Linked DNA regions of Arabidopsis thaliana. The protein of the gene in region 1 interacts with the protein of each later gene in a biochemical or structural test. Each region holds a gene or a part of one and is shown on either strand. Other genes may lie near its edges. The genes, in order: PIN7 and D6PK.

Evidence for each region.
Region 2: of the proteins of PIN7 (region 1) and D6PK, one has a biochemical effect on the other in vitro, tested with the Arabidopsis thaliana proteins (one study listed by BioGRID).

What each region holds. Positions count from the first base shown.
Region 1 is NC_003070.9:8,179,509-8,185,445, reverse strand, and holds PIN7 (Auxin efflux carrier family protein), read left to right. Parts: upstream 1-1,795; 5' UTR 1,796-2,039; coding exon 2,040-3,240; intron 3,241-3,317; coding exon 3,318-3,588; intron 3,589-3,678; coding exon 3,679-3,764; coding exon of another isoform or gene 3,765-3,802; exon of another isoform or gene 3,803-4,205; coding exon 4,206-4,363; exon of another isoform or gene 4,364-4,443; coding exon 4,444-4,520; exon of another isoform or gene 4,521-4,611; coding exon 4,612-4,678; 3' UTR 4,679-5,257; downstream 5,258-5,937. Other genes in the region: AST91 (sulfate transporter 91), read left to right, coding at 56-208. UniProt on the Arabidopsis thaliana protein: Acts as a component of the auxin efflux carrier. Mediates the initial auxin gradient which contributes to the establishment of the apical-basal axis in early embryogenesis.
Region 2 is NC_003076.8:22,639,110-22,644,093, forward strand, and holds D6PK (D6 protein kinase), read right to left. Parts: upstream 3,306-4,984; 5' UTR 3,000-3,305; exon of another isoform or gene 2,754-2,999; intron 2,637-2,753; 5' UTR 2,526-2,636; coding exon 1,891-2,525; intron 1,808-1,890; coding exon 946-1,807; 3' UTR 704-945; downstream 1-703. Other genes in the region: AT5G55900 (Sucrase/ferredoxin-like family protein), read left to right, coding at 70-493.

The DNA.
Region 1 (5,937 bases):
CCAAGGAAACTAATTAGATTTTGATCTAAACTGGATATTTATTTTATGTGTGAAGCTTGTGTTTGTGAACCCTCTAAGCGAAGTGGTGGAGAAGCTTCAAAGAGCTGACGAACAAAAAGAGTTCATGAGGCCCGAGTTTCTCTTCTTAACCGTCGCTGAGGCCGTTGCGTCGCTCTCTCTTAAAGGGCCATCTCTCAGTAACGTTTAACTATAATTTTTTGTATCGGTCCAATATTGATATTTAACCGATGGTTAAATTTTTCTTTTTGTCTCTTTTTCATCTTTTAATTTCAGTACAGATGTAATATTACGTTCTTCTCTCTCTTTCTTCAGTGATGATTTTGGTCAAGATATGTTTGTATGATTTCGCCATTTTGTAGTTTACTAGGCCATGTTTAGTCTCCGAGAATAAAATTGATCTAGAATCGAATTGATATCTTAGCTAGATCAAACGGATGTATATCCAAATTATTTATGAAATAAACTGATTAAATAAAAAAATAAAAATAATATTTTTATTTAAGATAATTATGTTTTATAATATTAGAAAATATGACCAAACCATGAGCAGAATTGTGTTAAGAACTTTGCCAAGTTAGAGCTTACATTATATATCAAAAGTCAATGTGTAATTGTCAAGAGGGATAAACCGACGCGGATGAATCGAAGAAGCAATTGCTTTCAAGAAGACTTCAAATCAGCTATGTGTCTGCGATTATAATTGTGTAAACGTTATAAGCAAGAAATTTATCTCAAAATAAAACTGGTCTATAAATCAAATCGAATTGAAAATTTAGCTAGATTAAAAGATGAAATGAACTGATAACATAAACTAATAGATATTTTTAATAAGATGTTACTACTTTTGTGAAATGATAAAATATTTCTGAAGTTAATCGAATTCATTCAAAGCTATGATAACATTGTGACTTCTAGGAAAAAACAATTCTTGATACGGTCGCGGAAAGATCTTGATAACATTGTGACTTCCAGTCTTCCATATGGCATAAGGTATTCTTTTACACTAATACTTTCCCGACAACAACAACGAAAAACTCCAACCTTTTTTTAAAAGGCCACATAGAATGCATGATAGACCATCTGAAAGAAAATGGACAGGGTGGCTTAAAAGTGAGATTTCTTGGGATTGCATAGGATGTTATAATTAACCCTAGCTTGAAAAAAAAAAGACGATTAGACAATAAGAAATAGAATTTAGGTCAACTTAGTTCGGCGAATATGATCTTGCATTGCACCTTCTTTACCAATTTATAGTGATCTTTTGCTCCTTATAAGCACATGTTTAAATCACCACTACGACATTGTTTCTGTTTGGGCCAAATGCACACTTGTATTTTATCTCACAACGAGCTTATGAGAAATCAATCCTAGTAATACGTTAAGTGGCCCAAGAAGTTTTGGACCGGCATTTACGTGTATATAAAAAAATATTATGATTACTTTTAGATGAAACCACACTTAATTTCTTCTTTTTTCTTGGTAAACCACAATATCTCTTTATTGTTTTTATCAAGGATTCACAAAATTCATTGAATGGAAATTTTCATTTATGTGTGACATGTAGACAGTCAGTCCACTCTAAAAAATCTCAGTCAATTTCGTAACAAATTCATAACCTATTTCAAACACAATTCATAACCATAACTTATAAATACTACATAAATGATATTTCTTTATATCATCTTAAATGGTACATAAATTAGGGGAAAGCTAAGATATATATAGTATTAAAAAGTACAAAAATAGATAAGGTTTATAAATGTTTAAAGAAGTAATAAAATAGAAATAAGAACTAATTAGGTCGTCATGTGTTTGCTGTATAAAAAGCTGTAAAGGGACATCTCTCGTAAATCTAAAAATCATCAAATCTTCTCCTTCTCTCTCTCTCTCTCACACACTCACTAGCTTCTCTGTTAAAAGCTTCCGTCATCACATAGAGAACAGAGACTGACACTAACTCACTTCCTAACGGTTTCCACACTCAAAATTACACTTTTGCCACTCCGGCGAACAACAATATGATCACATGGCACGACCTCTACACCGTCCTCACGGCGGTGATACCACTCTACGTAGCCATGATCCTCGCTTACGGCTCAGTCCGGTGGTGGAAAATCTTCTCACCAGACCAATGTTCCGGCATAAACCGCTTCGTCGCTATTTTCGCCGTCCCTCTTCTCTCTTTCCACTTCATCTCCTCAAACAATCCTTACGCAATGAATCTCCGATTCATCGCAGCCGATACACTCCAAAAACTAATCATGCTCACTCTCCTAATCATCTGGGCTAACTTCACTCGCTCCGGTAGTCTTGAATGGAGCATCACAATCTTCTCTCTTTCAACACTTCCCAACACTCTCGTTATGGGAATACCTCTCTTGATCGCCATGTACGGAGAATATTCCGGCTCACTCATGGTTCAGATCGTTGTTCTTCAGTGTATAATCTGGTACACGCTTCTTCTCTTTCTTTTCGAATACAGAGGAGCTAAGATCTTGATCATGGAACAGTTTCCAGAGACTGGTGCTTCGATTGTATCGTTCAAAGTTGAGTCCGATGTTGTTTCTTTAGATGGACATGATTTTCTTGAAACTGATGCTCAAATCGGTGACGATGGTAAGCTTCATGTTACGGTGAGAAAATCAAACGCTTCTCGGAGATCTTTTTACGGTGGTGGTGGTACTAATATGACTCCTCGTCCGTCTAATCTCACCGGAGCTGAGATTTATAGTCTTAACACTACTCCAAGAGGATCTAACTTCAATCATTCTGATTTTTACTCTATGATGGGGTTTCCCGGTGGCCGGCTTTCGAACTTTGGTCCGGCGGATATGTACTCTGTTCAGTCCTCGAGAGGACCTACTCCTAGACCTTCGAATTTTGAGGAGAGTTGTGCTATGGCTTCTTCGCCAAGATTCGGGTATTACCCGGGAGGAGCTCCCGGGTCGTACCCAGCTCCTAATCCGGAGTTTTCTACCGGTAATAAAACCGGTAGTAAAGCTCCAAAAGAGAATCATCATCATGTAGGAAAATCAAATAGTAATGATGCTAAGGAGCTTCATATGTTTGTTTGGGGATCCAACGGATCACCCGTTTCGGACCGAGCTGGTCTTCAAGTTGATAATGGAGCCAATGAACAAGTCGGAAAATCCGATCAAGGCGGTGCAAAAGAGATTCGAATGTTGATCTCTGATCATACTCAAAATGGTGAAAACAAAGGTTTTTAACTTTTAAATTGTATTTTTTTTTGTAACATATGGACACAAATCTCAAACTGTATTTGCTTAAATTTGTAGCTGGTCCGATGAACGGGGACTATGGCGGGGAAGAAGAGTCGGAGAGGGTAAAGGAAGTGCCTAACGGACTACACAAGCTTCGGTGTAACTCCACAGCAGAGCTAAACCCTAAAGAAGCTATAGAAACGGGTGAAACTGTACCGGTAAAACATATGCCACCAGCGAGTGTGATGACTCGGCTGATATTGATAATGGTGTGGAGGAAACTCATAAGAAACCCAAACACTTACTCTAGTCTCATTGGTCTCATTTGGGCTCTTGTTGCTTTCAGGTAACTTAATCAAAAATCAACTACTAGTGGAAGTTTATTATTATTGTGAGATTTGATTAGAGTGATGATTATGGTAATTTGGATATGAAGGTGGGATGTGGCAATGCCTAAAATTATTCAACAATCAATCTCAATTCTTTCTGATGCTGGTCTTGGTATGGCAATGTTCAGTTTGGGTGAGTCATCTTTTTACTCTGTTTCTTTTTTCCGTTAACTCATTTACTTTCTTTCTATTTTTACGCCAATCAAATGTCACAACATCCACATTCGTACGGAAAAAATTGTAACTTTTTTTTGGTGAGGATTCCAATAATTGAAAATGGTTGGTATTTTTTAAGATTTTTTGGGATGGCCCGTTACGGCATGGACCATCCGACAGGTAGGGTCATTGATGCGACGTCGAATTATATAAACGGTCGTGGTGGGATGACATAGCTCGTGTTCTTGATTGTTGTCGTGGTCCCCATATTAAGTGGAAGTTGATTGGACTTACAATGTACATGAATGCATCATCATCATCATTTATTGGATTTAGATTACGTTTACATGTATTGCATCATTCAGCACTTGTTGTTTTGAGTGGAAATGAATTAACTGAAAATGTGAAAATGGTGAAGGGTTGTTCATGGCATTGCAACCGAAATTAATTGCTTGCGGAAATTCGACGGCGACTTTTGCGATGGCGGTGAGATTCTTTACTGGACCAGCGGTAATGGCCGTGGCAGCAATGGCTATTGGATTACGTGGAGACCTATTGCGTGTGGCCATTGTTCAAGTAAATTAAACTATTTTCGTTTGTTGTTAACAATCTCTTTGTAAGAAGTAGTTTAACCAAATCTTGTGGTAACGTTGTAGGCTGCATTGCCTCAAGGGATCGTGCCGTTTGTGTTTGCAAAAGAGTATAATGTTCATCCCGCAATCTTGAGTACAGGGTAAGTATTTCATATTGAACCAATAGTAAAACTTTTCTTATGCATAAGAGAAGATTACTAATATTGTTGATTCTTATGTGTATTATTGCAGGGTAATATTTGGAATGCTTATCGCACTACCGATTACACTTGTTTACTACATTTTACTCGGGCTATAAGCTCTTCAATGGAGAAGTTCTGCTTGGCTGAAGAGGATAAAGAGAAACAAGATAATTCCAAGATTAGTGGAACGCAACTAGAAAATGTAATGTAACACGAAATGTAGTAAATTTAAAGGGACCAAGATTTGATTTGAGGATCCAAAAACCCTTTTCTTGTCTATATATTTTCTAGAGATTATTTGAGAAAGAAGGTGATGGAATGAGAGAGACAAGAGGACCAAAACAAGGGAAAGCAAAAAAAACAGAGGACTAAGATTTGATTTGAGGATCCAAAAACGCTTGTATATTTTCTCTTCTTTTTTTATAAGAAGGGTAAAGCTTTGTTCATATATTTTGACTTGCAATAATTTCTCTTACTTTCTACTTTCATTTTGTTTAAAATTAGGTAGGTACGGTATTCATTTTTTGTTTGTTTTGTGTTTTGTGTAGGTTACTTCTTTCGACGAAAGTGTGTTTTTGTGGATTTTCCTTTCTCATCTAGTATACATTGCTCTCACAAAAGTAAGGACTGTTTTATTCCAATTAAATAAAGAAAATGACCTCTTAGTTAGCGATTAGGCGTGAAGATATATTACAATTGGTTTTATTTAATTTTTGTTCTTGTCTCATGACGTATATGATTATATTTATATTATAATTACATCAAAAGATATGAAATGAAGAAAATCATATGATAGAATTCGAGTAAAACCAGGAAAAAGATGCACCATTTTCTTACAATTCGGCTCTTCGTTATACATAATAAGGGGAAAATGAGTCCAGAACATCTCAACCCATTGAACTTTTAAATGAAGAAAACTAAACGTTTTACCAATTGAGTCACTTTATATTTTACTATTTTATGTTAGACATATTACTATACTAATTTGGACGTTGAGAAAATTTCTCTCTTTTTTCTCAAAAGGAATTTGTCTAGTATAACTTTAGATGCTGTTTAGACAAGTACGTCGACTTGATAAAGCTCTAGTTACCATTCAGAGCATTGGTTACCATTCAGAAGTGGGTTAGGCGCTTTGCACTCAAAACGCGGTGTCGTCGTTTTAGTAAGCTTTGTGATGTAAACACAAATTATATATAGAAAAATAAAAACATAAAAGTAATAAATTAACAAGCAGAAAGTTACTTAAAAGTCAAAAGCAAAAAATATGAAGAAAAGTAATAGCTGCTTTTTTGGTTTGTGTAAAAGTACTTTACTGCTTTTTCATTGTTTTCATACTCTTTTATTTCTAGGTATGTATGTTCTCAAATCTCCAATA
Region 2 (4,984 bases), on another chromosome or scaffold:
GCTTCTTGATTTAGACAGTCTCTAAAAAGAATTTCGGCCTTTAAACAACACTTATTGATTGTTTTCCAGGGGTGAAATGGGTCTGCCAGAAGAAGATCAGAAGAAAACTCAAGAACAAAGGTTACAATTAAACAGCGAAAAGATCAGCAACAGAGAGGTGACTCAAGAATCAGTTAATAATAGTATCTGTTGCCAGTCTCGAGCTGTCCCAGAGCTGAACGGTAGTGGTTGCCAACAAAATGGGAACTCCTCTTACTGTCTGGAGGAGATTCACACAGAGAAAAATACCTCGGAGAGAGTAACCTCTGTAAAAAATGCATCTCTTCGGATAGGAAGCAGCGAGAATGGATCTTCTGGTGGATTCAAGGTTTGTGCGGTGATGTCAATGTGGTTGGAGACTTGGGAGAGAGAAGATACATATGCTGCTTTAGCTGTTGCTTGTGCTGCTGCATCTGTGGCTATTGCTTATAACTGCTATAAACAATTGAAATGAAGCTATGTGTTTTATATTTAGCTTCTATGCAATGGTAATTATCTCAGTCTTTAGATTAGTTGTTTCCTCTTCGTCTGTACAGAGTTAGAAGAGGGTTTTAACTCTTAAGTAAGAACTGCTTGTTGATAACATATGATTATTATATATCCATTTGTAAGTAATTACGGGTTTAGTCAATTTGGTTTAGAGTTCAGATCAATGAAAAGCAAGGAACTTTTGAGGTTTTGATATGGTGGATTAATGGATTCTCAATGGTTCGTGTCTAACATTAAACTCAAGAAGATGGTACAGAGACTGTCTCACAACTTTGAAGAATGATTACAAATCTCATAACTTTTTCCAAGACGTGAAAATTAAAAAGAAGAAAAAAAAAGAAACACATTTGTAGAAAACACTAAACAGAATTTGCAAAGAAACAATAATGAGAATCATCAACTGTGGAAACAGTTTCTTCAGAAGAAATCAAACTCAAGATAATTACTCTGATCAGATCTTACACTCGAAGATGCGGCTGCTGGCACAGTAGGAGTAGGATTCAAAGCTTCAAGATCAACCGGTTTAGGAATCTCCGGTGGACTGGCACATCGAACCAGAGCCCAATTCACTCCTTCAAAGAAAGGATGTTGCTTTATCTCTGTTGCTCCACGCTTATAAGCTAATCTATGTTGTGGCTCCTTCACAAGCAAACTCCTTATCAAATCCCTAGCTGCGAAGCTAACAACCGGAGATTCAGGGAATCTAAGAGGCTGACCAACCACGTTGAAGAGCGTTGCTCGATTTCCTGACCCTTTAAACGGTGTTTTACCAAACAATAGTTCATAAAGAAAGATCCCAAAGGTCCACCAATCAACTGCACTTCCATGTCCTTCACCTTTGATGATCTCTGGAGCTAAGTACTCGTGTGTGCCAACAAAAGACATAGAACGGGCGCCTGTGGGCTCTGCAACGAGTTCTGGTAACGGAGTTACTTGGTGGTTCCCGTTTTCGGTTTTCGGTTTCTTGTCTTTCTTGGATTTCGATGAGAAGAACCGAGGACCGAAGCAAGATGTTGGAGCCATTGAGATGCAAGATGGTTGCTGGATGCATGCAGGTTGTTGCGAGCAAGAAACCGAATTCTTCGACAAGCCTTCGGATCCAACATTAGCTGATCTGACTATAGAGAGGCTCACAGTACATCTCAGGGAGAGATCAAAATCCGAAAGCATCACGTGCCCATCATCTCTCACAAGAACGTTCTCGGGTTTCAGATCACGGTAAATGATCCCAAGCATGTGTAAATATTCCATTGCAAGAAGCACTTCCGCGACATAAAACCTGCAAAACAGCAAGTCACTAAGGTTATATAAACGCACAAAACTAGATTCTTAGATAAAGAAAGTTTAGAAAAAGTTTCTTACTTAGCTGCTTGCTCGGTGAAGCGTTTCCCGGGTTGTCTCTGCCTTAGTGTATGCAAATCACCACCAGGACAAAACTCCATCACCAAACAAGAGAACTTCTCTGTCTCAAAATGACTATACAAAGTCGGAAGAAACGGGTGATCAAGACACTGCAATATCTCTCTTTCAGTTTGAGCCCTAAGAAGCTTTTTCCGGCTAGCCAAAGCAGTTTTATCCATAACCTTCATCGCAAAATAACACCTAGTTCCATTCAACTCAGCAAGATGAACAGTTCCAATATCTCCACATCCTAACCTCTTCAAGAGCCTAAAATGATTCAAACCCAAACCACCATGTTTAGTTCTAACAGCTTGAATAGCTTCCCATCTCACATCATTAGCCTTGTGAGGTTTGTTGATACTGCTACTAAAGCTGCTACAAGTGCTCTCATCGCTTATATCACTGCTTGTACTTGGTCTACAAGTGCTACTCTTTCCACTCTCACCTTGCTCGTTGATCTTACTATTACCGGTTTTGCCATCACTACTTGGATCAGCGAAAGACAAACTCGAAGATACTTGATCTGCTAAAGTGTTGATTGACATACTTTGACTGGAATTGGTAAGTGATCCTTCTGGAGTTTTTGAAGCCATCATTAACACAGAGCAATCTTAAACACCAATTCCTTCTTCCCTGAGATTTAAAGAACTTGTCTTTACTCTCTAGTAATCAATACTGTCACAGATTCCATCAACGAGTGGCCTGATCTATAGTCATCAAAACAAAACAATAGCATCAGTTTAAAGCTGGATTGAGAAGACTCAGAAACAACAATCACGGATCTTACTACAGATGAAAGTTTAAGTAGATGCACAAAATTTTACCCAAATTGAAATATCAAATCTAAGTGACAAATCAATTAAAGCTCTTCATGCAAAAAGTTTGGATTTTTATTTTGAGTCTTTAAGGGTAAAAACAGATCTCGTTAAAGTAAAGAAGAAGAAGAGGCAAAATAAAGAACTTTTGGATCTAGCAAGAATCAGAGAATAAAACCCAGAAAAAGAAGAAATAAAAAGAACAGAGCTTTAGAGAGAGAGAGAGAGAGAGAGAGAGACCCAATAAATCGTTACCTGAAAGTGAAGATTTTTGAGCGATAAAGATCACGAGATACCCTTTTCGAAGCAAAGGGAAGGAGAAGTAGAAGAAAAAAGGAAGGAGAGGGAAAGAGAGAGAACAGTCACTGTTCATGTAAGGCTGTAGAGAGAGAAAGAGATGTAAGAACACATCTGCTTGCTTCCATGGAAATGGGGATAGATAGAGAGAGGGAGAGAGAGGAGAGAGTGTTGTTAAGAGAGAGAGAGAATTGGGTCTACCATGAAAAGAGGGAAGAGGAGAGAGAGGGTCAAATAAAAAGTTGAATACTTTTTTTTATTTTTTTTATTTTGAGGGAATTTCAATTATTTCAATGTATTTTTTTTTGTTTTCTCCAAAATGGAAGACATATGTTTACATCAAGAATGCTCTCGCGAGCTGTTAATAATTTTAGGCTTTTTAGGGCAACCAAATTTTTATTGATACATGTTATTGTATATTTCCTACATGTTTACTTTATATTTTGATTTTCTAAATAATTGTCTATAGAAATTTTTATATATATTTACCAAAAAAATTCCTTTTTGATTCTTTAAATTATTAAACACATCAATTTAAATTATTAAAATTCAACATTCTTATCTTTCATCTATTCTCATGAATCTGTCATGTGCCTTTTACTTGATGATAAAAAAAATTGATGTTTACCTCTATGCATAAATTTATGGATTTTACATATTTAGCTTAAGTTTTCACACGAGTTTTTCAGTTTAGCAATTCTAAGTAAGAACTATTGTGAATGCACATTTTTGTTAGAAGGACAATCCCATATGCGTGCCACCAAACTATAATTTTCTGTTTTATTTATGCGGTTTGGAAAACATCGTCCTAAGCGTATGTTTTCGTCATCATGCAGCATCTTCGGAAGTTTCTTCTTGTGTTCTAATGGGTGAAACTTGAGGCATTAAATGAACATTAGCGCATACCATATCACAAAGAGTTTTGCATCTTTTCGGATTGCCAATAGATGATAAATCTTATAAGCTGAATGAAGACATAACAATAGATATTTTATATCTCGATTTCTTTTGTTATCAATTCCATTTACATCCAGTGTTCATCCAATTTTATGGTCGAAATAATACTTTCTAAAAGCTTGTTAGCATCCGTCAAACATTCTGTTTTCAAATTTTTAGTGAAAGTTTTTGTCATTTACCAAAATCAATAAAAAAAAATCTTTTAAGTTTTTAAAAATAACTAAACATTCCAAAATTGTATAAACCTTTAAAAAATTTCCCTAATAACAAATACGTAAATTGGTCATGTGTATTAATTTTATTTTATTTTTTTACTAAACACACCAAACAATTATTTAAAATTAGACTCACCATTGTTTGAAACTTGAGAGTTCCAAAAGATGCCCCTAAAACTTTTCAGCAAATTCTTATTTATTGCCCAATAATAAGTTTCCTTAGATTCTAAGATTATATTTCATGTATTTTATTTTTTTTCCCCCACATTTAAATCGAACAGAAACAATGTTTTTTTAGAAATGGTTCAACAGGTAGTTGACAAACCAGAAGATTGTTCAACATAAAAGAACACAAGTGGGTATAATTTGTTCATTTCCTCATATCTCAAATAATTCATATTTTAACCTCATGCTCTTATTAGATCCAATTACTGCGTCAATTTTTAATCGAGAAGCTCAGATCCAATAACGACAATTGCTACACGATCGGCTTGTGACGTGAAACGCGAGTGGGGAATCTTTCTTCATTATAATCCCATTTCTTTAGGTTAAAAATACTGCAATAATAACAAAATAAAAGGTTTAGTTTATTAAAATGTTTTGTTTACCATGATACTTGAGGGATTAAGGTTTCTAAGTTTCTTCATTACAATTTAAATCATAGCTGGACACTGTCACTAAGGATGCTTTAACATTTAAATGGTAAGAATATCCATTTTTATACAAGTTTCTAGGTTTACTCTTAGATTTAGATCGAGTCCTCTCAAAGTC